Xenopus tropicalis: one gene and its partners. The protein of the gene in region 2 interacts with the protein of the main gene of each other region in a pairwise test. Links are inferred from orthologs where the notes say so. Each region holds a gene or a part of one and is shown on either strand. Other genes may lie near its edges. The genes, in order: khdrbs3, psmf1, fbxo7 and bend7.

What was found.
Region 1: the proteins of psmf1 (region 2) and khdrbs3 interact in a two-hybrid assay, tested with the Homo sapiens proteins (2 studies listed by BioGRID and IntAct). The link is inferred for Xenopus tropicalis from reciprocal best matches to the Homo sapiens genes PSMF1 and KHDRBS3.
Region 3: the proteins of psmf1 (region 2) and fbxo7 interact in binary tests that used the Homo sapiens proteins (3 or more experiments, as listed by UniProt). The link is inferred for Xenopus tropicalis from reciprocal best matches to the Homo sapiens genes PSMF1 and FBXO7.
Region 4: the proteins of psmf1 (region 2) and bend7 interact in a two-hybrid assay, tested with the Homo sapiens proteins (2 studies listed by BioGRID and IntAct). The two-hybrid records come from large-scale screens. The link is inferred for Xenopus tropicalis from reciprocal best matches to the Homo sapiens genes PSMF1 and BEND7.

What each region holds. Positions count from the first base shown.
Region 1 is NC_030682.2:144,622,952-144,628,657, reverse strand, and holds the start of khdrbs3 (KH domain-containing, RNA-binding, signal transduction-associated protein 3), read right to left. Parts: upstream 3,880-5,706; 5' UTR 3,637-3,879; coding exon 3,552-3,636; intron 1-3,551. UniProt on the Homo sapiens protein: RNA-binding protein that plays a role in the regulation of alternative splicing and influences mRNA splice site selection and exon inclusion. Binds preferentially to the 5'-[AU]UAAA-3' motif in vitro.
Region 2 is NC_030686.2:690,657-696,117, reverse strand, and holds the start of psmf1 (proteasome inhibitor PI31 subunit), read right to left. Parts: upstream 3,737-5,461; 5' UTR 3,630-3,736; coding exon 3,495-3,629; intron 2,277-3,494; exon of another isoform or gene 2,255-2,276; coding exon of another isoform or gene 2,228-2,254; coding exon 2,081-2,227; intron 1,963-2,080; coding exon 1,880-1,962; intron 1-1,879. UniProt on the Homo sapiens protein: Plays an important role in control of proteasome function. Inhibits the hydrolysis of protein and peptide substrates by the 20S proteasome. Also inhibits the activation of the proteasome by the proteasome regulatory proteins PA700 and PA28.
Region 3 is NC_030679.2:7,489,519-7,494,078, forward strand, and holds the end of fbxo7 (F-box only protein 7), read right to left. Parts: intron 4,502-4,560; coding exon 4,360-4,501; intron 3,884-4,359; coding exon 3,800-3,883; intron 2,607-3,799; coding exon 2,511-2,606; intron 2,417-2,510; coding exon 2,240-2,416; intron 1,753-2,239; coding exon 1,715-1,752; intron 1,634-1,714; coding exon 1,283-1,633; 3' UTR 1,014-1,282; downstream 1-1,013. UniProt on the Homo sapiens protein: Substrate recognition component of a SCF (SKP1-CUL1-F-box protein) E3 ubiquitin-protein ligase complex which mediates the ubiquitination and subsequent proteasomal degradation of target proteins and plays a role in several biological processes such as cell cycle, cell proliferation, or maintenance of chromosome stability.
Region 4 is NC_030679.2:81,756,695-81,761,692, reverse strand, and holds part of bend7 (BEN domain-containing protein 7), read right to left. Parts: intron 1,262-4,998; coding exon 999-1,261; intron 203-998; coding exon 1-202.

The DNA of each region.
Region 1 (5,706 bases), on a different chromosome or scaffold from region 2:
AAAAAAAAAAAAACCCTTCGTGTGAGCAGAAAAAACCACAAATTAGGCAAATGCAAATGAATGTTTGGCTTCCGTCTCGTATGACAGTAATGCAGGAACGATGAGCGAGAGAGACCGGACGCGGCACCAACAAGGATGACCTGTGGACCCCGGGGGACCAATTGGACTCCATTTTCAGCCTGAAAGTTTAGATGTATGCAATGCAGAGAAAACTGCCAATTAACCCCTTAAATATATACTGTCTGACTAATCCCATTCTAGGTAAAGGTCAGAGGATAAGGAGTTTAGTAGGACCAAGAAGGGGTGTAGCACATTCACCTCCAACAGAGACAACGTTCATAGTTCTTTTTATAAACATCACTTTTACATCTGGCATGTAACGACATCCTGCATATATTCATAGGGGGGTTAGCAAGATGGGTGCCGTAGGTCCTTGCGAGCTTAATTACTGTACGTGAAACGGCACAAAGGATCTGCAGCAAATCAGAACCAGCGAGCAAACAATGGAGAGGTCTGACAACTGTGTCCCCTTAGAAATAAACCAAAGCCCCCCCCCCCACCCCGGATCCTGTTGTCTGCATTTGTGTTGACGGGTTTATAGACAGTCAATGAAATTATCACACTGAGGACTTCACATTTTTTTATCTTAAATCGAGAGAAGGGCTTTGATCGTCAACAAATGGCAATTAAAATAGACAAAGCCCTTTCTGTCAGGCTTGAGCATTTATCTGCTGGAATAGCAAGCCCGGCTGGGATACATCAGGGGGTATATATGTATATAGCTTACAGTAAATATATATATATGTATAAACAGCCTATGAATCCGCTGGGACACATGGCTAGCTGCTGCATCTGCGGGTCTCCCTCGGTACATTGGCTACTGCAATAGGAAAATCCCAGTGATATATCTATATATATATATATATATAATGCATATATACATACACAGGTGGCACAAAACAACTTTGTACATTCGTATATATATATATATATTGGGGGTCATAAAATTTGCTCTTTGTACTTGGGAGACGTCTCGCTTTGATCGGATGAGGAGCAATTAAATCTTATTCAACAGGATTCCTTTCCCGGGGCTGCATGTTGTCCTACCCTGAGGATTCCTATACTGAAACCAGGGTAAAAATAAAGCGATGACAATACCTTGGGGTGGGCTCTCTTCCACCGAAATAGAGAGATGGAGACTGCTCTGTAGGTGTGACTGCCACGGTCTCTTAGAGAGAGACGGAGAATGCTATATATGTGGCACCTATTGTGAGATACAGCGGATCTCAATAGAATTAACATGAGGGAAACAGCTGGCGTTGGATCTTCCCAGAGGGACTCGGGGCGAGCTACAATATGCTATAGATACATTAGAAGGTGGAGTGAGTGTAGTTTTAGAACGCAGCCCCCCACCACCACCAAGAGCATTCTAAGTACAAGACCCCCAGAGGGAGCTATAGTAGTTCAAATCCATAGCTTCCCCCTAGAACAGGTAATGACAGATTTAGGTCAGGTACCAATACCACAATGTGATTTTTTTGCATTTCAGAGACGTTATCCTATGTACCCACCCCAACCAGAGTGAAAGCAGAGCCTGGAAACATATTACCCCCCCACCCTCTCCAAAAGAGCAATTTAGATTTCAAGATTCCAGTCCTTCTACCCAATCCCATCACTAAGTTTAGCCAAGGGGTTGCTCTTAAAACAAAAAGACTTTCTAGATATAATCCTGGCCATCAAGAAGAGAGAGCCCCCCCTGCCCCAAGCATTGTGATTTTTGGAAGAGGTTGAGAGATGAGTTCCCTAGAGAGGATAAGGTTATAGGGGAGCTTTAGGGAGCGCAGTCCCCGGAGTATGAGCAGCTTTGACTTGAGGGTAGAGGTAAAATCCTTGGGTGGTATTGTACATTGGGGGGTGAATTCTTAGTATAAAGGGCTTGGGGGTTCTTAACATGACTGTTTGGGAAGCTGAGGGACATGTTCCATAGGAGGTTGTTAAGGTGAATGTGCTTTGGAGAATGAACATTGATTTACCTTATTCTTCAGAGATGGATGGATAGGTAGATTAGATAGATAGATAGATAGATAGATAGATAGATAGATAGATAGATAGATAGATAGATAGATAGATGGATAGATGATGGTGAGGGTACTTTACTGAGTAGGACCAATTTTAGGAGAGGAGGAAGAGATGATATGTCTCAGGGAAGCACTTCCAGTGAATGAGTTCCCTTGGGGGGGCAGTAGAGTACAAGGAGGCTGTCCCTGGGCAGAGGGTAGGAATGAATGTACCCCAGTGGGGCAGTTCCAGTGCATGAGTTCCCATGGGGGGCAGTAGAGTACAGGGGGTTTGTCCCTGGGCAGAGGGTAGGAATGAATGTATCCTAGTGGGGCAGTTTCAGTGAATTAATTCCCTTTGGGGGGGCAGTAGAGTACAAGGAGGCTGTCCCTGGGCAGAGGGTAGGAATGAATGTACCCCAGTGGGGCAGTTCCAGTGCATGAGTTCCCTTGGGGGGGCAGTAGAGTACAGGGGGGCTGTCCCTGGGCAGAGGGCAGGAATGAATGTACCCCAGCGGGGCAGTTTCAGTGCATGAGTTCCCTTGGGGGGCAGTAGAGTACAGGGGGGCTGTCCCAAGGCAGATGGTAGGAATGAATGTACCCCAGTGGGGCAGTTCCAGTGCATGAGTTCCCTTGGGGGGGGGGTAATAAAGTACTGGGGAGCTGTCCCTGGGCAGAGGGCAGGAATGAATGTACCCCAGTGGGGCAGTGACAGTGCATGAGTTCCCATGGGGGGGCAGTAGAGTACAGGGGGGCTGTCCCAAGGCAGATGGTAGGAATGAATGTACCCCAGTGGGGCAGTTCCAGTGCATGAGTTCCCATGGGGGGGCAGTAGAGTACAGGGGGGCTGTTCCTGGGCAGAGGGCAGGAATGAATGTACCCCAGCGGGGCAGTTCCAGTGCATGAGTTCCCATGGGGGGGCAGTAGAGTACAGGGGGGCTGTTCCTGGGCAGAGGGCAGGAATGAATGTACCCCAGTGGGGCAGTTCCAGTGCATGAGTTCCCATGGGGGGGCAGTAGAGTACAGGGGGGCTGTTCCTGGGCAGAGGGCAGGAATGAATGTACCCCAGTGGGGCAGTTCCAGTGCATGAGTTCCCATGGGGGGGCAGTAGAGTACAGGGGGGCTGTTCCTGGGCAGAGGGTAGGAATGAATGTACCCCAGCGGGGCAGTTCCAGTGCATGAGTTCCCATGGGGGGGGCAGTAGAGTACAGGGGGGCTGTTCCTGGGCAGAGGGTAGGAATGAATGTACCCCAGTGGGGCAGTTACAGTGCATGAGTTCCCTTGGGGGGGCAGTAGAGTACAGGGGGGCTGTTCCTGGGCAGAGGGTAGGAATGAATGTACCCCAGTGGGGCAGTTCCAGTAAAATATACCCGGGGGGGGAATCGCACTGCATTCTGTACCCCACAGGATAAATATACCCCAGAGGTCACCCCCAGTGCAAGTGTCCCCCATAATATAACAATATAATACCCCGGGGGGGGCAATAGTTCCTACCTTCCTTCACCATCCTGAGTGCGTGAGTGAATGACGGATCCAGCGCGTCCTTCTCAGCCAGGAGCTGCGGGAGATACTTCTCCATACGGGGGTAGGGGGGTTAATACTCCGGAGAATCCAGCGGGAATCCGAGGGCCAGTCCGGGCGACCCAAAGGGGTTGGAAATAGTCCGCGGCAGGGGCAATAGAGCAGCCCGTAGGGATCCCTGTCAGAGCGAAGTTCCGCCACAGAGAGTCACTGTCACTGCCCTCCCCGTACCCACAGCGTGCGGCTCCCACACAGCCTCCTCTCAGCCCGCCCGGCTCCGACTGACCCAGCAGCCCACTCACGTCTCCTTAAAAACAAACGGCTGCGCCAACCCACCGCTTCCCTCCCTTGGGCGGGGAACAAGCAAATTCCTCCGCCAACCCCGCCCATACACACGCCCCTTGTCTGTTCCCAACCAATGGTGGGAAGGAGTAAGTGACAGGCTCATTAATATTTAGCGAGTCTCCCCGTTGGTCGCTGTCTGTGGTGCTGAATGGGCGGAGCTGGGACTGACTGAATGGGCGGGGCTGGGACAGTGCGGGAGGGGCCGGGAGTACGTTACTGAGCCGCTGTGGGTGCGGAGCCCAAGCCGGGGCCCCTGCGATGTTCTGCTGCAGTCGGTACCGAACTCTCCCACATACAGTCCCGTTACCCGTTATACCGCTACCCTATGTCTTCCTTCCACTGCCCGGATAGGAACTAACCCCCCCTGTACCTTCTGCCCCAATTCTACTCTAATGCCTGATACCCACAGCCAATCCTCACACAATCTCAGTTCCCATGTTACCCCACTACTAACCCCCTGCTTCCCCATAGAACCCCCTGCCCCCCCCCAAATTACTGCCCCCATAGTACCTTCTTCAACTCTCTACCAAACTACAGACCCCCCAACTATTCCTACATCCCTGTCTCCTACACAAAGGGCACCCTCCCTGAATATCTGCCCCCATATAACCAATACACCCCTAAATCTCTACCAAACTACAGACCCCCCAACCCTCCCTACATCCCTGTCTCCTACACAAAGGGCACCCTCCCTGAATATCTGCCCCCATATAACCAATACACCCCTAAATCTCTACCAAACTACAGACCCCCCAACTATTCCTACATCCCTGTCTCCTACACAAAGGGCACCCTCCCTGAATATCTGCCCCCATATAACCAATACACCCCTAAATCTCTACCAAATTGTGGGACCCCCCCAACCTATCATAAATCCCTGTCTCCTACACAAAGGGCACCCTCAACTAATTTCTGCCCCCATATAACCAATACACCCCTAAATCTCTACCAAATTGTGGGACCCCCCCAACCTATCATAAATCCCTGTCTCCTACACAAAGGGCACCCTCAACTAATTTCTGCCCCCATATAACCAATACACCCCTAAATCTCTACCAAATTGTGGGACCCCCCCAACCTATCATAAATCACTGTCTCCTACACAAAGGGCACCCTCAACTAATTTCTGCCCCCATATAACCAATACACCCCTAAATCTCTACCAAATTGTGGGACCCCCCCAACCTATCATAAATCCCTGTCTCCTACACAAAGGGCACCCTCAACTAATTTCTGCCCCCATATAACCAATACACCCCTAAATCTCTACCAAATTGTGGGACCCCCCCAACCTATCATAAATCACTGTCTCCTACACAAAGGGCACCCTCAACTAATTTCTGCCCCCATATAACCAATACACCCCTAAATCTCTACCAAATTGTGGGACCCCCCCAACCTATCATAAATCACTGTCTCCTACACAAAGGGCACCCTCAACTAATTTCTGCCCCCATATAACCAATACACTTCCTCGAATCTCTACCAAACTACAGACCCCCCAACCCTCCCTACATCCCTGTCTCCTACACAAAGGGCACCCTCCCTGAATTTCTCCAATCCTGCCTAAATCTCTACCTCCTGCATAACCCCACCCACCCCCCATCCAAATTCCTAACCACATATAATACAATCTCCTCCTACCCCCACCTTGCCCCAAAGACATTACATTAACATTTATTTATAAAGCGCCAACATATCCCGCAGTGCTGTACAATAAGTGGGTTACATACATTGGACATACAGAGTACCCTAACTAGTCCTTTACTACAGCTCAGCCCAG
Region 2 (5,461 bases):
AACGGCAGCCAGGGGAACCCCACAACCCCCCCTACCCACCTGTGTAACGGCAGCCAGGAACATAACCCCCCCCTACCTGTGTAACGGCAGCCAGGGGAACCCCACCATAACCCCCCCACCTGTGTTAACGGCAGAGGAACCCCACCATAACCCCCCCTACCTGTGTAACGGCAGCCAGGGGAATAACCCCCCCCTACCACCTGTGTAACGGCAGCCAGGCGAACCCCACCATAACCCCCCCCACTGTGTAACGGCAGCCAGTATTGGGAACCGTCGTGTCCCAGTCCACCATAACCCCCCCACCTGTGTAACGGCAGCCAGGGAAACCCCACCATAACCCCCCTACTGTCTTTTCCTACTTGTTCCCAGCGCAGGGAACCCCACCATAACCCCCCCTACCTGTGTAACGGCAGCCCCACCATAACCCCCCCTACCTGTGTAACGGCAGCCAGAGCCGGAACCCCACCATAAACCCCCCTTCCCACCTGTGTACTTATGGAACCCCACCATAACCCCCCCAACCTGTGTAACGGCCCAGCCAGGGGAACCCCACCATATTACCCCCACCACTATCTATCAAGGGGAACCCACCTGTGTAACGGCAGCCAGGGAACCCCACCTAACCCCCCCCTACCTGTGTAACGGCAGCCAGGGGAACCCCACCCATAACCCCCCCCTACCTGTGTAACGGCAGCCAGGGGAACCCCACCATAACCCCCCCCTACCTGTGTGTCAACGGCAGCCAGGGGAACCCCACCATAACCCCCCCCTACCTGTGTAACGGCAGCCAGGGGAACCCCACCATAACCCCCCACCCTCGTGTAACGGCAGCCAGGGGAACCCCACCATAACCCCCCCCTACCTGTGTAACGGCAGCCAGGGGAACCCCACCATAACCCCCCCCTACCTGTGTAACGGCAGCCAGGGGAACCCCACCATAACCCCCCCTACCTGTGTAATGGCAGCCAGGGGAACCCCACCATAACCCCCCCCCTACCTGTGTAACGGCAGCCAGGGAACCCCACCATAACCCCCCACCTGTGTAACGGCAGCCAGGGACACCCCACCACTAAATGTGTAACGCCCACCATAACCCCCCTACCTGTGTAACGGCAGCCAGGGGAACCCCACCATAACCCCCCCCTACCTGTGTAACGGCAGCCAGGGGAACCCCACCATAACCCCCCCCTACCCACCTGTGTAACGGCAGCCAGGGGAACCCCACCATAACCCTACCTGTGTAACGGTTCTACCAGCCAGGGAACCCCACCATAACCCCCCCACCTGTGTAACGGCAGCCAGGGGAACCCCACCATATCTCCCCCCACACCTGTGTATTTATTCTTATTTACGGCAGCCAGGGGAACCCCACCATAACCCCCCTACATGTGTAACGGCAGCCAGGGGAACCCACCATAACCCCCCCACCTGCTGTAACGGCAGCCAGGGGAACCCCACCATAACCCCCCCCTACCTGTGTAACGGCAGCCAGGGGAACCCCACCATAACCCCCCCCTACCTGTGTAACGGCAGCCAGGGGTAACCCCAACCATAACCCCCCCCTATCCTGTGTGAGACGGCAGCTCAGGGGAACCCCACCGATGAACCCCCCCCACCTGTGTAACGGGCAGCCAGGGGAAGCGCCAGCCATAACCCCCCCCGTACCTGTGTCTGTACGGCAGAACCAGGGGAACCCCACCTATATATCCCCCCCTACCTGTGTAACGGCAGCCAGCCGGGAACCCCACCATAACCCCCCCCAGCCTGTGTAACGGCAGCCCAGGGGAACCCCACATAACCCCCCGCCTACCTGATGTAACGGCAGCCAGGGGAACCCCACCATAACCTCCCCCCCCCCCGGGGCCCCCCAGCCTCTGACCTGGGGTATTCCTGCAGGTGGGCGGAGTCAATGAACCGGGACACTTGCAGCGTCACATCCGCAACCTTCTCCGTCTGCATGTCCTGTGGGAGAGAGCCAATCAGCTGCTCAGAATCAATGGGCTCCTGTTTCATTGGCTGGCACACCGGCACAGCATTGTACTGGCAGAGTGGGTTAGTGCCCCGGGGGCATTCTCCTTACCATGAGATGCACAATCACAGCGCCCTCTACTGTCAGGGCTTTCAGCAAAAACTGTGAGTTTGGGCTCCCGTAGCGCAGCGTGTACAGGTCCGTACTGTGTGCCCATCCCTCCGGGAGGCGCTCCGACCCCGACTCCTGCGCTGCTGCCTGCGGGGGGCGACACATAGTCTGCATCGAAAGGATAATGTACCCCCTACTGTATATGATAAGGATATTAGCAGTCACTGAGGGGTTCTGTGCCCCCCATATAAAGGCACAAGGCTGCAGGCTGAGTTATACAGGGAACTCTGAGTATCACTCATGTATTATAAGGGATACTGTACCCCCTACTGTAAATGATAAGGATATTAGCAGTCACTGAGGGGTTCTGTGCCCCCCATATAAAGGCACAAGGCTGCAGGCTGAGTTATACAGGGAACTCTGAGTATCACTCATGTATTATAAGGGATAATGTACCCCCTACTGTAAATGATAAGGATATTAGCAGTCACTGAGGGGTTCTGTGCCCCCCATATAAAGGCACAAGGCTGCAGGCTGAGTTATACAGGGAACTCTGAGTATCACTCATGTATTATAAGGGATAATGTACCCCCTACTGTAAATGATAAGGATATTAGCAGTCACTGAGGGGTTCTGTGCCCCCCATATAAAGGCACAAGGCTGCAGGCTGAGTTATACAGGGAACTCTGAGTATCACTCATGTATTATAAGGGATAATGTACCCCCTACTGTAAATGATAAGGATATTAGCAGTCACTGAGGGGTTCTGTGCCCCCCATATAAAGGCACAAGGCTGCAGGCTGAGTTATACAGGGAACTCTGAGTATCACTCATGTATTATAAGGGATAATGTACCCCCTACTGTAAATGATAAGGATATTAGCAGTCACTGAGGGGTTCTGTGCCCCCCATATAAAGGCACAAGGCTGCAGGCTGAGTTATACAGGGAACTCTGAGTATCACTCATGTATTATAAGGGATAATGTACCCCCTACTGTAAATGATAAGGATATTAGCAGTCACTGAGGGGTTCTGTGCCCCCCATATAAAGGCACAAGGCTGCAGGCTGAGTTATACAGGGAACTCTGAGTATCACTCATGTATTATAAGGGATAATGTGCCCCCTACTGTAAATGATAAGGATATTAGCAGTCACTGAGGGGTTCTGTGCCCCCCATATAAAGGCACAAGGCTGCAGGCTGAGGGGGCGGGGCACCAGGAGAGGGGGCGGGGCACCAGGAGAGGGGGCGGGTTGTTACACTCACACACAGACTGTATAATAAAGTTTCAGCCCCTCCCCCATTAGCGGATACAGGCCGAGCCCCCCTTACTGTGTAGTAACACACACTCAGCCCTCACTCACACTCAGCCCTCACTCACACTCAGGGGAGGGGGTGCCGGGCTTTATTCTCACCTCCTCCCCCCGGCCCAGGCACCGCAGGCGGCGGCTGATTAACTCCCAGTGGATGAAACAGATCAGCGGATCCGGCGGGCGGGAAATATCGGCGGAAACCAGAGAGAAAAGCAGCTCCATTCCCGGGGCCGCCATGATCGGAACTGCGTCATACTCACTTCCGGTCCCAACACTTTCAGCTTCCGCGTTCAGCCGGGAGAACAGAGCGAAGTGATTGGAGGTTCCGCCCCAGGGGGCGCTATAAATGGGGGGCGGGACTTCCTGCCCCCCCCCCCCCTCCAATAGTCCCACAACTCCCAGCAACCGACACTATTTACCCTGCTCTAGGGGCAAATTACCCTCTTGTACCCCCCAAGGCGAGCAGTGTGGGTTGGGCTGCAGTGTGGGGTGTGGGGTGTGGGGGTTAATAACCTTGGGGGGGGGGCAATATTAGTCTGGGGTAGTAAGGGCAGGGGCAGGTCGGGCCCCCACTCGGGTTACTCCCCATTCAGCTAAGAACCTGTGGTTTTTATGATTTGTTTTTTTTATCTGGAACTTCAAGGCTTAAAAATTGCAGCTGCATTGTGGTTGCTATGCCTCCATTACCTTAGTAACCAGGTAGCGTAACTATAGAAGTGGAACAATCAGAGGAGTTCTGTTTAGTGGTCGATAGGGTCAGTGACCCTTGTGGGAAACGGACGGAATAGAAACACCGATAATTCAACCACCGTACAAAATAAATCACAGAAACCAACTGAAATGATATAAAGATTCCCCCGTTACCCCCCGAGCTCCCCCCAGTCAGTTACACAGCCCCACAGGGAACGTCCCCCGTTACCCCCCAAGCTCCCCCAGTCAGTTACAGCCCACAGGGGAACGTCCCCGTTACCCCCGAGCCCCCCAGTCAGTTACACAGCCCCACAGGGGAACGTCCCCGTTACCCCCCGAGCTCCCCCCAGTCAGTTACACAGCCCCACAGGGGAACGTCCCCCGTTACCCCCCCCCGAGCTCCCCCAGTCAGTTACACAGCCCCACAGGGGAACGTCCCCCGTTACCCCCCGAGCTCCCCCCAGTCAGTTACACAGCCCCACAGGGGAACCCCGTTACCCCCGAGCTTCCCCCGAGTCCCCAGTCAGTTACACAGCCCCACAGGGAACGTCCCCCGTTACCCCCGAGCTCCCCCCAGTCAGTTACACAGCCCCACAGGGGAACGTCCCCCGTTACCCCCCCGAGCTTCCCCCCGAGCTCCCCCCAGTCAGTTACACAGCCCCACAGGAACGTCCCCCGTTACCCGGCTTCCCCGAGCTCCCCAGTCAGTTACACAGCCCCACAGGGAACGTCCCCCGTTACCCCGAGTCCCCCCAGTCAGTTACACAGCCCCACAGGGACATCCCCCGTTACCCCCCGAGCTCCCCCCAGTCAGTTACACAGCCCCACAGGGAACATACCCCCCGTTACCCCCGAGCTCCCCCCAGTCAGTTACACAGCCCACAGGGAACGTCCCCCGTTACCCCCCGAGCTCCCCCCAGTCAGTTACACAGCCCCACAGGGGAACGTCCCCGTTAGCCCCCGTTACCCCCGAGCTCCCCCCAGTCAGTTACACAGCCCCACCAGGGGAACATCCCCGTTACCCCCCGAGCTCCCCCATCAGTTACACAGCCCCAGGGGAACATCCCCCGTTACCCCCCGAGCCTCCCCCCAGTCAGTTACACAGCCCCACAGGGGAACGTCCCCCGTTACCCCCCCCCGAGCTCCCCCAGTCAGTTACACAGCCCACAGGGGAACATCCCCCGTTACCCCCCGAGCTCCCCCCAGTCAGTTACACAGCCCCACAGGGGAACATCCCCCGTTACCCCCCGAGCTCCCCCCAGTCAGTTACACAGCCCCACAGGGGAACATCCCCCGTTACCCCCGAGCTCCCCCCAGTCAGTTACACAGCCCCACAGGGAACGTCCCCCGTTAACCCCCGAGCTCCCCCAGTCAGTACC
Region 3 (4,560 bases), on a different chromosome or scaffold from region 2:
TGATTCGCTTTGTTAGATTCCCCACGGCCGAAAGCCCGGGCCCGCGCACCTGAACCCTCCGTGCCCTCATGTTTATTGGGTTTATTTACACTGTAACAGGTGTTCAGCTCACCCCGCTATAGTTCCAGGGGTACCCAGGGCACAAATAAGCACTCACCCCAAATCCCCCCCTAACTGGCCTTCAGGCTGGGCCCCCTTAGCCCATAACAAGGTTACAGATATATAGAAACATTGGGGTAACAGTCACCCTGCTATAGTTCCAGGGGTACCCAGGGCACAAATAAGCACTCACCCCAAATCCCCCCTAACTGGCCTTCAGGCTGGGCCCCCTTAGCCCATAACAAGGTTACAGATATATAGAAACATTGGGGTAACAGTCACCCTGCTATAGTTCCAGGGGTACCCAGGGCACAAATAAGCACTCACCCCAAATCCCCCCCTAACTGGCCTTCAGGCTGGGCCCCCTTAGCCCATAACAAGGTTACAGATATATAGAAACATTGGGGTAACAGTCACCTCGCTATAGTTCCAGGGGTACCCAGGGCACAAATAAGCACTCACCCCAAATCCCCCCCTAACTGGCCTTCAGGCTGGGCCCCCTTAGCCATAACAAGGTTACAGATATATAGAAACATTGGGGTAACAGTCACCCTGCTATAGTTCCAGGGGTACCCAGGGCACAAATAAGCACTCACCCCAAATCCCCCCTAACTGGCCTTCAGGCTGGGCCCCCTTAGCCCATAACAAGGTTACAGATATATAGAAACATTGGGGTAACAGTCACCCTGCTATAGTTCCAGGGGTACCCAGGGCACAAATAAGCACTCACCCCAAATCCCCCCCTAACTGGCCTTCAGGCTGGGCCCCCTTAGCCCATAACAAGGTTACAGATATATAGAAACATTGGGGTAACAGTCACCCTGCTATAGTTCCAGGGGTACCCAGGAGGGGTGGGGGGGGGGTTCTACTCTGCAGGTTCCCACCTTCTGGCCGAGGATTATTTCTATTTTCTGTTCTCTGTATTTGTATTTATTTATTGATGTCATAAATAATAAAAAAAAAAAAAAAAAGTTTCCCCAAGCCCCCGCTCTTAATTATTCTTAACAAACAGTTCTATTAGTAATAGAAACACCCCAGTGGGGGGGTAACTGCCCCCATTTGCCCCATGTACCCCAGATAATAACAAAGCAGGAAGTCCAGCGCCAGGGGCTTATTCACAACTTAAGGGGAAACATCCAGTGCAACAGTCCGACCTCCGAATGTCTCCGACCCCCCCGGGAGTTCATATGAAGCCCCTCCGGATGTCGGGGCCCCTTCCTCTGCTGGGGCGGAGACTGCTGGGCCCCGGGATCGATGGGTCGCTCTCAGAAAAGGGGACTGTGACTTTAAAGGGGTTGGATAAGGGACTGAAGTGCGAGGAAGTCGGCCCGACTCGGGGGATGAAACTGGGGTCCAGGATAGGGGGGAAGGGCCTTTGGTCGTATTCACCCCCGATGATACCCGGAGGGTAATTTAAGTCAGGGGGGAAGATGTTGGGGTAATAAGGGTAAGGGTGGGTGATCCTGGGGGGCAGGAAGTGCCGGCGTACAAAGCGGCTGCGCTCCATCTTCTGCTTGTACTTCTCCCTGTAGAGCTGCAACACAAACAAAGATGGCGGCCCTTATACTGAGTTGCACCCAAGGCCCCGGCCCATATCTACAGTAACAGCACCCACCTTTTTCCAATCCATGTCCAAACTCCTTGGAAGGTTATCTGTTCAACAGCAAAGCATAGAGTTAGTGCTGATCCCTAACAGCATTGCCACAAAGCAACATAAACCCAAGATACCAAAACTTTGCCTTTTAGTGCTGATCCCTAACAGCATTGCCACAAAGCAGTGCACCCAAACTGCTGCAATTGGTTTTTGTACTATTTAGCTTGGGATTTCAGCAGCTATCTGGGTGCTAAGGTCCGAATTATCCTAGCAACCAGGCAGTGGTTGGAATAACAGACTAGAATATGAATAGGAGAAGTTTTTGAATAAAAAGATAGTCCAATAATAATAATAAAAAATAAAGACCAATTGAAAAGCTGATCATTTGCAATTCTATAACATACAAGTTAACATAAAGGTGAACCGCCCCTTTAAGAACAATATGGCGGCTATAACTGCAAATCGGATCTGCCGGGTTACCCCCTCACCCCCAGTGTTGCAAGGCACAAGAATATGTGGGTGCAGTGTCCCTAAATTTGTACTCACTCCGGAAGTCTCGGACGCACAGGAACCGCCACAGGGAGGGGTCGTTGGTGTCGGCCAAGAACTCCTTACAGGTGGCCGAGAGGCTGAGAAGGGAGCGAATGTCCAACAGGCGGAAAATCCTGAGCTTGAGCTCCGGGGGGAGAACGAGTAGCCCGAACACATCCGGGAGGTTCAGCACTGAGACGGGAAAGGAAGGAGATGTAATAACGGCTATAACTGGGGGGGGGGGGGGGGGGGAAGTGGCCAATAGCGGCCCGGGGCGGACTGTTACCTTGCCGGGCAGCAGCAAGCAGAGGGTAGGCCACCTGGTCTTTAAACTGCCCCGATAACTTCTGCAGATCCTTATACACAGAGGCAATGTTGTTATCTGTGGGGGGAACATGAAGATGCTGAATCCTACTACCCCCTACTGTAAATGATAAGGATATTAGCAGTCACTGAGGGGTTCTGTGCCCCCCATATAAAGGCACAAGGCTGCAGGCTGAGTTATACAGGGAACTCTGAGTATCACTCATGTATTATAAGGGATAATGTACCCCCTACTGTAAATGATAAGGATATTAGCAGTCACTGAGGGGTTCTGTGCCCCCCATATAAAGGCACAAGGCTGCAGGCTGAGTTATACAGGGAACTCTGAGTATCACTCATGTATTATAAGGGATAATGTACCCCCTACTGTAAATGATAAGGATATTAGCAGTCACTGAGGGGTTCTGTGCCCCCCATATAAAGGCACAAGGCTGCAGGCTGAGTTATACAGGGAACTCTGAGTATCACTCATGTATTATAAGGGATAATGTACCCCCTACTGTAAATGATAAGGATATTAGCAGTCACTGAGGGGTTCTGTGCCCCCCATATAAAGGCACAAGGCTGCAGGCTGAGTTATACAGGGAACTCTGAGTATCACTCATGTATTATAAGGGATAATGTACCCCCTACTGTAAATGATAAGGATATTAGCAGTCACTGAGGGGTTCTGTGACCCCCATATAAAGGCACAAGGCTGCAGGCTGAGTTATACAGGGAACTCTGAGTATCACTCATGTATTATAAGGGATAATGTACCCCCTACTGTAAATGATAAGGATATTAGCAGTCACTGAGGGGTTCTGTGCCCCCCATATAAAGGCACAAGGCTGCAGGCTGAGTTATACAGGGAACTCTGAGTATCACTCATGTATTATAAGGGATAATGTACCCCCTACTGTAAATGATAAGGATATTAGCAGTCACTGAGGGGTTCTGTGCCCATATAAAGGCACAACACCAAAGGCCGAGTGCTTTTATACAGATCATGGAACGGAATATAAGGTGACTATTTTACAACAGGGGGTACCTTATTTATTATAACACATCATGTGATACAGATGACATCACTGAGCACCAATTATAACTGATGACATCACAGAGCACCATTTAAAAGGATATCGTTTACAGAAAACGCATGGCTCTTGTGTTTAGACATAAACTTCTGATCCCGGCTCTTCATCCGTTAACCCTTTCCTGACAATTTTTTTGGCCCCCGCACCCCCTTTACCGGCGGAATCTGCCCCGTACCTGTCTCGGGGTAGGAAATGTAGGAATTGGTCGACAGCTGAAGTTTCCGCACACTTTTCATCTCGCTGTTAATCTTCAGGGTGGCTGCACGTGCAAAAGAGGAGAAATGAGGATGGCGGCAGCCATATTGCAACAAGATGTGAGCCTATGCTGTCGGCCAGGGGTCCTCAAACTGTGGCCCACGGGCCGGTTCCAGCCCCCTGGGGTAGGTGGTGGTCTGGCCCCCCCATTGCTTAAGAAGTTTGAGGACCCCTGCTGTAGGCAATGAATACAAACAGGAAGAGCAACTGTCACCCTAGAATTCAGAGTTTATAGGTGCTATGGGTGACCTGGTGTCACATGGTTCCTATAAACAGAATGGGGGGGGGGAATATACCAGAGCAATGAGAAGGAGCTTTAATACAAGGCTGCAATGCAATGCATGTACACTAGGTGGGGCACTAACTCTTTAACATGCTCCTGTGCCACACACACAGCAGGGGGCAGTACAGACAGCAGATGAAGGCAGGGGGCTGGCAGACTGGGAGGAAGAGGAAGGATAAAGTACAAGTAATACTCACCATTGATTATGACCAGCTTGCCCATCGGCAAACAAGCCAAGGTGGCCGAGACTTCAGCGCACAGAGGGTGAGTGTAGTGCAGCCTGTAGGCCCCCCCGCTGCGCCAATCCTGCGGCATACACAGCACCTTGCTTTCAGCACCCTGGGGGGGGACAAGGAAGGGTTACCGACCCACCAATCACAGATCCCTGGGATGGGGGG
Region 4 (4,998 bases), on a different chromosome or scaffold from region 2:
GATCCAAGCCTTGCCGATTGTCATTAAGACCCCGTTTCCTTTTCCCGTTGGGAAGTGATGTTGCCAATGTTTTGTCATCAAAAAATGCACACACCAGTTTTCTAAAGAGTAGACTTCCTGACCTTTTGTAGTTTGTTAGAATAGAGTCGAGCTGAGACTTCGGCATAAATACATCAAATCCCTCTGCGAGTTGGACGTCTGGCTACCAAAATAATACAGTTGTCAAGATGGCATACAAGAGAAACAGTTACTGTACTGAGGGAAAACCTTTTTTACCTAACCTCACTGAGGTAGTCCTGAGGTCTAATTTAGTGTGAATGAACTTACAAGGCCAGATTTATTTATTTATTCCTAGAAGTCATAAGTTACTGCTCAGTAAAGAAAGAATGATTGTAACGAAAGGCTTTTTACTCCTGACATATACAGCAATGTGGAATATGTGCTTTATAAATGCACATTAATAATAATAACAGTTGTGCTACATGAAATCTTCAACTCAACAACTGCTCTGATCTGAGTAATATGTGAATTGTCCAACAGAAACTAATAAACACTAAATTCAAAAATGCTAGCAACAACTGAAATGAATTTGTGAATAAATTCGAGTCTTTCAGTCTCTTTCATTTATAATCTTAATGACAGCTCCAAGTCATTCAAATCAACAACTGGTTTCAGGTAGGAACGTGGACCACTGTGGCCCTATTTATCAGTTAAAAACATAGCAAAATATGAGCCATAGAATTTTACAGAAAAATAATGTTTTCTCACAATAAAGCCACCACATTCATCATTATTTTTTATTTGATACATGTAATTATAACTATATATAGAACAAGTTTTAAATCACCATTACAGTATATAAGGAAGTACCTCTAAAAGAGAACTGTTTGCAAGGTAGAAATGTTATTTATTTTGCAGTGGTATTTTAAGAATTTATGAGTAACTCATTATATTGCTAGAGGCCAAAGCAACTAATTAACCTTTGCAGTGCAACTTACATCAGAGGATGAAGAATCAACAACAATTCCAAATCCCAGCATGTGCTCCTCCTCTTTCTTGGCTCTCCCTTTTTCTGTCAGACTGGACCTTTCTGGGAGCACCATGGCCTTGTGCTCTTTCTCACTCACACTTGGTGGGCTGATTACAGGAGATACTGCTGTATTCTTTAAAAGCACTTTTTTCTTTATTATTCTTTTCCTTGCCATGGCTGCCTTTTGATTGCAAATGCATGACTGCGGAACCTGCATACGGCTTTGCGAAACTGTAATAAAACACATATGCATGTATAAATGGTGTTAATTATTAGTTGTTTAGTTATTTTAAAGGTGAGGGCAAAACACTTCACCAGAAGTATACTGTATATATTGTGTGCCGCTTTCTACTTTGTAGCTGGGCAGGTTGTAAATATGGGAATAAAAGGAAAACTTTCAAGTTAGGGTTAGATTGTTTTTGCATTTTTAAATATAAATTACTGCTTTTGAAAATACATAATTCTGTTTCTTCAACATGGTCTCATTTGAGAATCTCTGTATATTGAATACATAGGGGTTCCCAACATTCATCTGCCCACACATCTGTACTAACTGGGATGTTTACTTTAAAGGAACAGTAACACCAAAAACTGAAAGTGTATCAAAGTAATTAAGCTATTATCTACTGTTTCCCTGCACTGGTAAAAGTTGTGTGTTTGCTTCAGAAACACTACTATAGTTTATGTAAACAAAAATGCTGTGTAGCCATGGGGGTACCCATTCAAATTGAAAAAAGGAGAAAAGGCACAGGTTATATAGCAGATAAATTGCATAGATTCCTATTGTATTCTACAAAGCTTATCTGCTATTATCTGTTTGCTTATGTAACCTGTGCCTTTGGCCCCTATGGCTAGACAGCAGCTTATTTATATTAACTGAAATAGTTTTTTTGAAGCAAACCAGTGCAGGGCAACAATACATTATCATTTAAATTTTTTTATTTTACTGTTCCTTTAATTGTTGTCAGGGCCACATTTAGGCAAAGAAAGGCCCCAACCTCCAAGAAAGCTGTGGCAGAGATACCTTACTTCAATATAGTAGGGCAGAGATTTCCTTATTTTGCACATTGCTGGCAAACAAATAAGCAGTACCTTACAACACATCTCTACACGGGACACCACAAGAAACAAATATACTTAAGGTACCAGCTTTTTTACATAAAAGATCCCTTAAAACATTTAGTAAAAGTAAGTAAGTAAAATGCATATTTTTATTGTAAAGCTCTTCTAGTTCATTTCTTCCATTTCTACTGTATACATCATGCAATGCGGTAGTTGAGTGTGCCAGCCTCCAGCAGCGTGTGGACACGGCGTGCGCGCGACATTCTGCACAGCGCGCCGCTGCAGGTAAGGACACAGTGGAGCACAGGAGGAGCACCCCCCTCCCTGGACCCCCCCGTGCCCGGCCTTAAGGAGAATGTGGACACAGTGTGCGCGCTACAGTTAGTTACTGTTGCTACTGTTAGTGCCAACATCTTGCCGAATGACAATGACAGTAAGTGACACAAAAGGCAGCACCGTTACTCCACACTATTGAAATGCTTGGTTATGATATCCTTGTGCTAGCCGTGGGCCCTAGCATTGCTTAATACACTCACATTTGTTTATATTAGGGCTGTTTGCTGGAAAATCCATAGCCTGAATAAATGGAGCTTTTCTTTAAAAATTAAAAAACACCCTCAACCCCCTATCTAACCCCCACCCAACTTTCTTTAACCCCCCCTTTTCCTTCTTCCTTCTTTTTTGTTTCATATATTTCATATGTATTTTACCTTGCTGTAAAACAACCAATAAAAACAAAGTTAAAAAAAAAAAAAAAATCCATATGCATGGTTGCTTCCGCTCTACTTGTAATTCCATTAATATTTTAAAATTAAAGGCATGTATACTTTGCAATTTGGTGTATTTAAAGAATACAGAAATGCCATATTTACTTATGGGATTAAAGATTTTGTATACCGGTATATGGATGCTTTTCATGCTGCACCATTGAGGGGCTTATACTCGAGTCAATAAGTTTTTCCAGTTTTCTTAGGTAAAATTAGGTACCTCGGCTTATATTCGGATCGGCTTATACTCGAGTATATACGGTAATACATGATACAGTAATTAAGCTATTAATGTGTTCTCAAAAAATACATACAAAGTAGGTACAGCCCATCATTTCTCTAGATATAAAATTAACAGTCACATTTACTTAAACTCATCTTTTTCTGGCCTTGACAGAAAAAACCTCAACACGGTATAAATTCGAATTAAACTTAATCATTGTTGTATTTATAAAATGTCACGATAATGCTTGAATCTTTCGTAAGAAAATTTCAAATTTTATGTTAGAAAATCGCAAATTTTTCAAGCCACAACTATATATATATTTGAAACTCGAAAAATTTGAGTTTAAACGAACGTTCATTTCCATTAATCTTCTTTATTTTTGCCAAACAGGAATTGCTCCAGCAGCCATTTTAGGAGCATTGGTACTCATTCTAGTTTCACTTGAATGTGGGTGAAACTGAAAACAATAATGGGATTAAATTCCCCTTGAAAATGTGTCAAGGACAGGCTATTCTATTCCTCTTCTATTCCAAGCCTTGAAAGGACTCAATTGTACTCGACAAATCAACCTGTCGAATTTTTTTTTTTTTTTACAAAAAAAAGTTAACTAAACATTAATAAATCACAAATTACGGGAGTTATTTTAGAAAAAATCAAATGTTTCGGGCAAAATTTCCAGAAAAATCTAATTTTTCAAGAAACAATATCAATGGCAAAAGCCCATTTGTAAATCAACTTTTTCTTAAAATTTCTTAGTAAATGTGCTCCTAAGTATTCTAAAAATTACAAGTTAGGTTTTAATGTAGGGTGTTTCATAATTATAAACATGTTAGTAATACATTTGCAGACCTTGCCAATACATCTCCCATTGATTTCTACATAAACTCCGCAGCTTTCATATACCAGTTCTTAATAAATCTCAAATTGAGGTTCTAGATACTCCACAAATTTACATTTTTTACTTAAAAAAACATAAACAACTGTAAATATGTAATATAAGCATCACCATACTGAAATAAGAAACTTTCTAAACATTCTGTACTGTTTCTGAAATAATCACATTTATCTTTACTATGATCCCCTCTCAGCATTTGTTTATCTTCATTCCCTCTTTATGCAGAAGTTGATTTTGATTGACAGTAAGGTCCAATATATCTTTTTTTTGGGGGGGGGTGCTCTTGCACAAACCCTTCATTTAGAGAGACAGAATTTTTAGTGATTTTAAAGGGAAACTATACCCCCCAAACAGTGTCGGCCTCTATAAAAATATATTGCATAAACCAGCTCATATGTAAAACTCTGCTTCATCTAAATAAACCATTTTCATAAAAATATACTTTTTTAGTAGTAAGTTAGGAATTAAAGTGATACTGACACCAAAAATAAAGATGTTTTTTAAACCTTTCATTGCTTTATCATTGTATTATCTCTTTAATTTCAACCTATAACCATATAGCTATCACTTTTACATTGCCATTCTGGTCTCATGGGTTTCTCTCTGAGGGGGCTGCCTTGTTTGGGCAGTTGTTGTTTGAAAACACTGCCCTTAATTTTAGTTTGAAAATCCTAGCCAATCGGATTCAGTGCTGCACATACAAACTATTTCTAATGAAATCTTTTAATGCTGAAGTACAACAGTGGACAGTGGTGTTTAGGAATGAGGCTTTTGCATTCCTTTCTAAGCATATTTGCTCTGATACCCTTTGAACTGGCCGTCTCTGTCATGGACGCTCTATAGCAGGCACAAGCAGACAAAGTGTATACTTGTTATCTATATGGGATCGTGTTCCTTTCAAATAATAAATCACAGCAGGACTAATTAGTATAGTTCTGGTGCAAAGATTTATTGAGAAGACACTTACAGGCAGCGCTGCCCAGCTTCAGCTGACGTCAGTGAAGTGAAACACTAATTG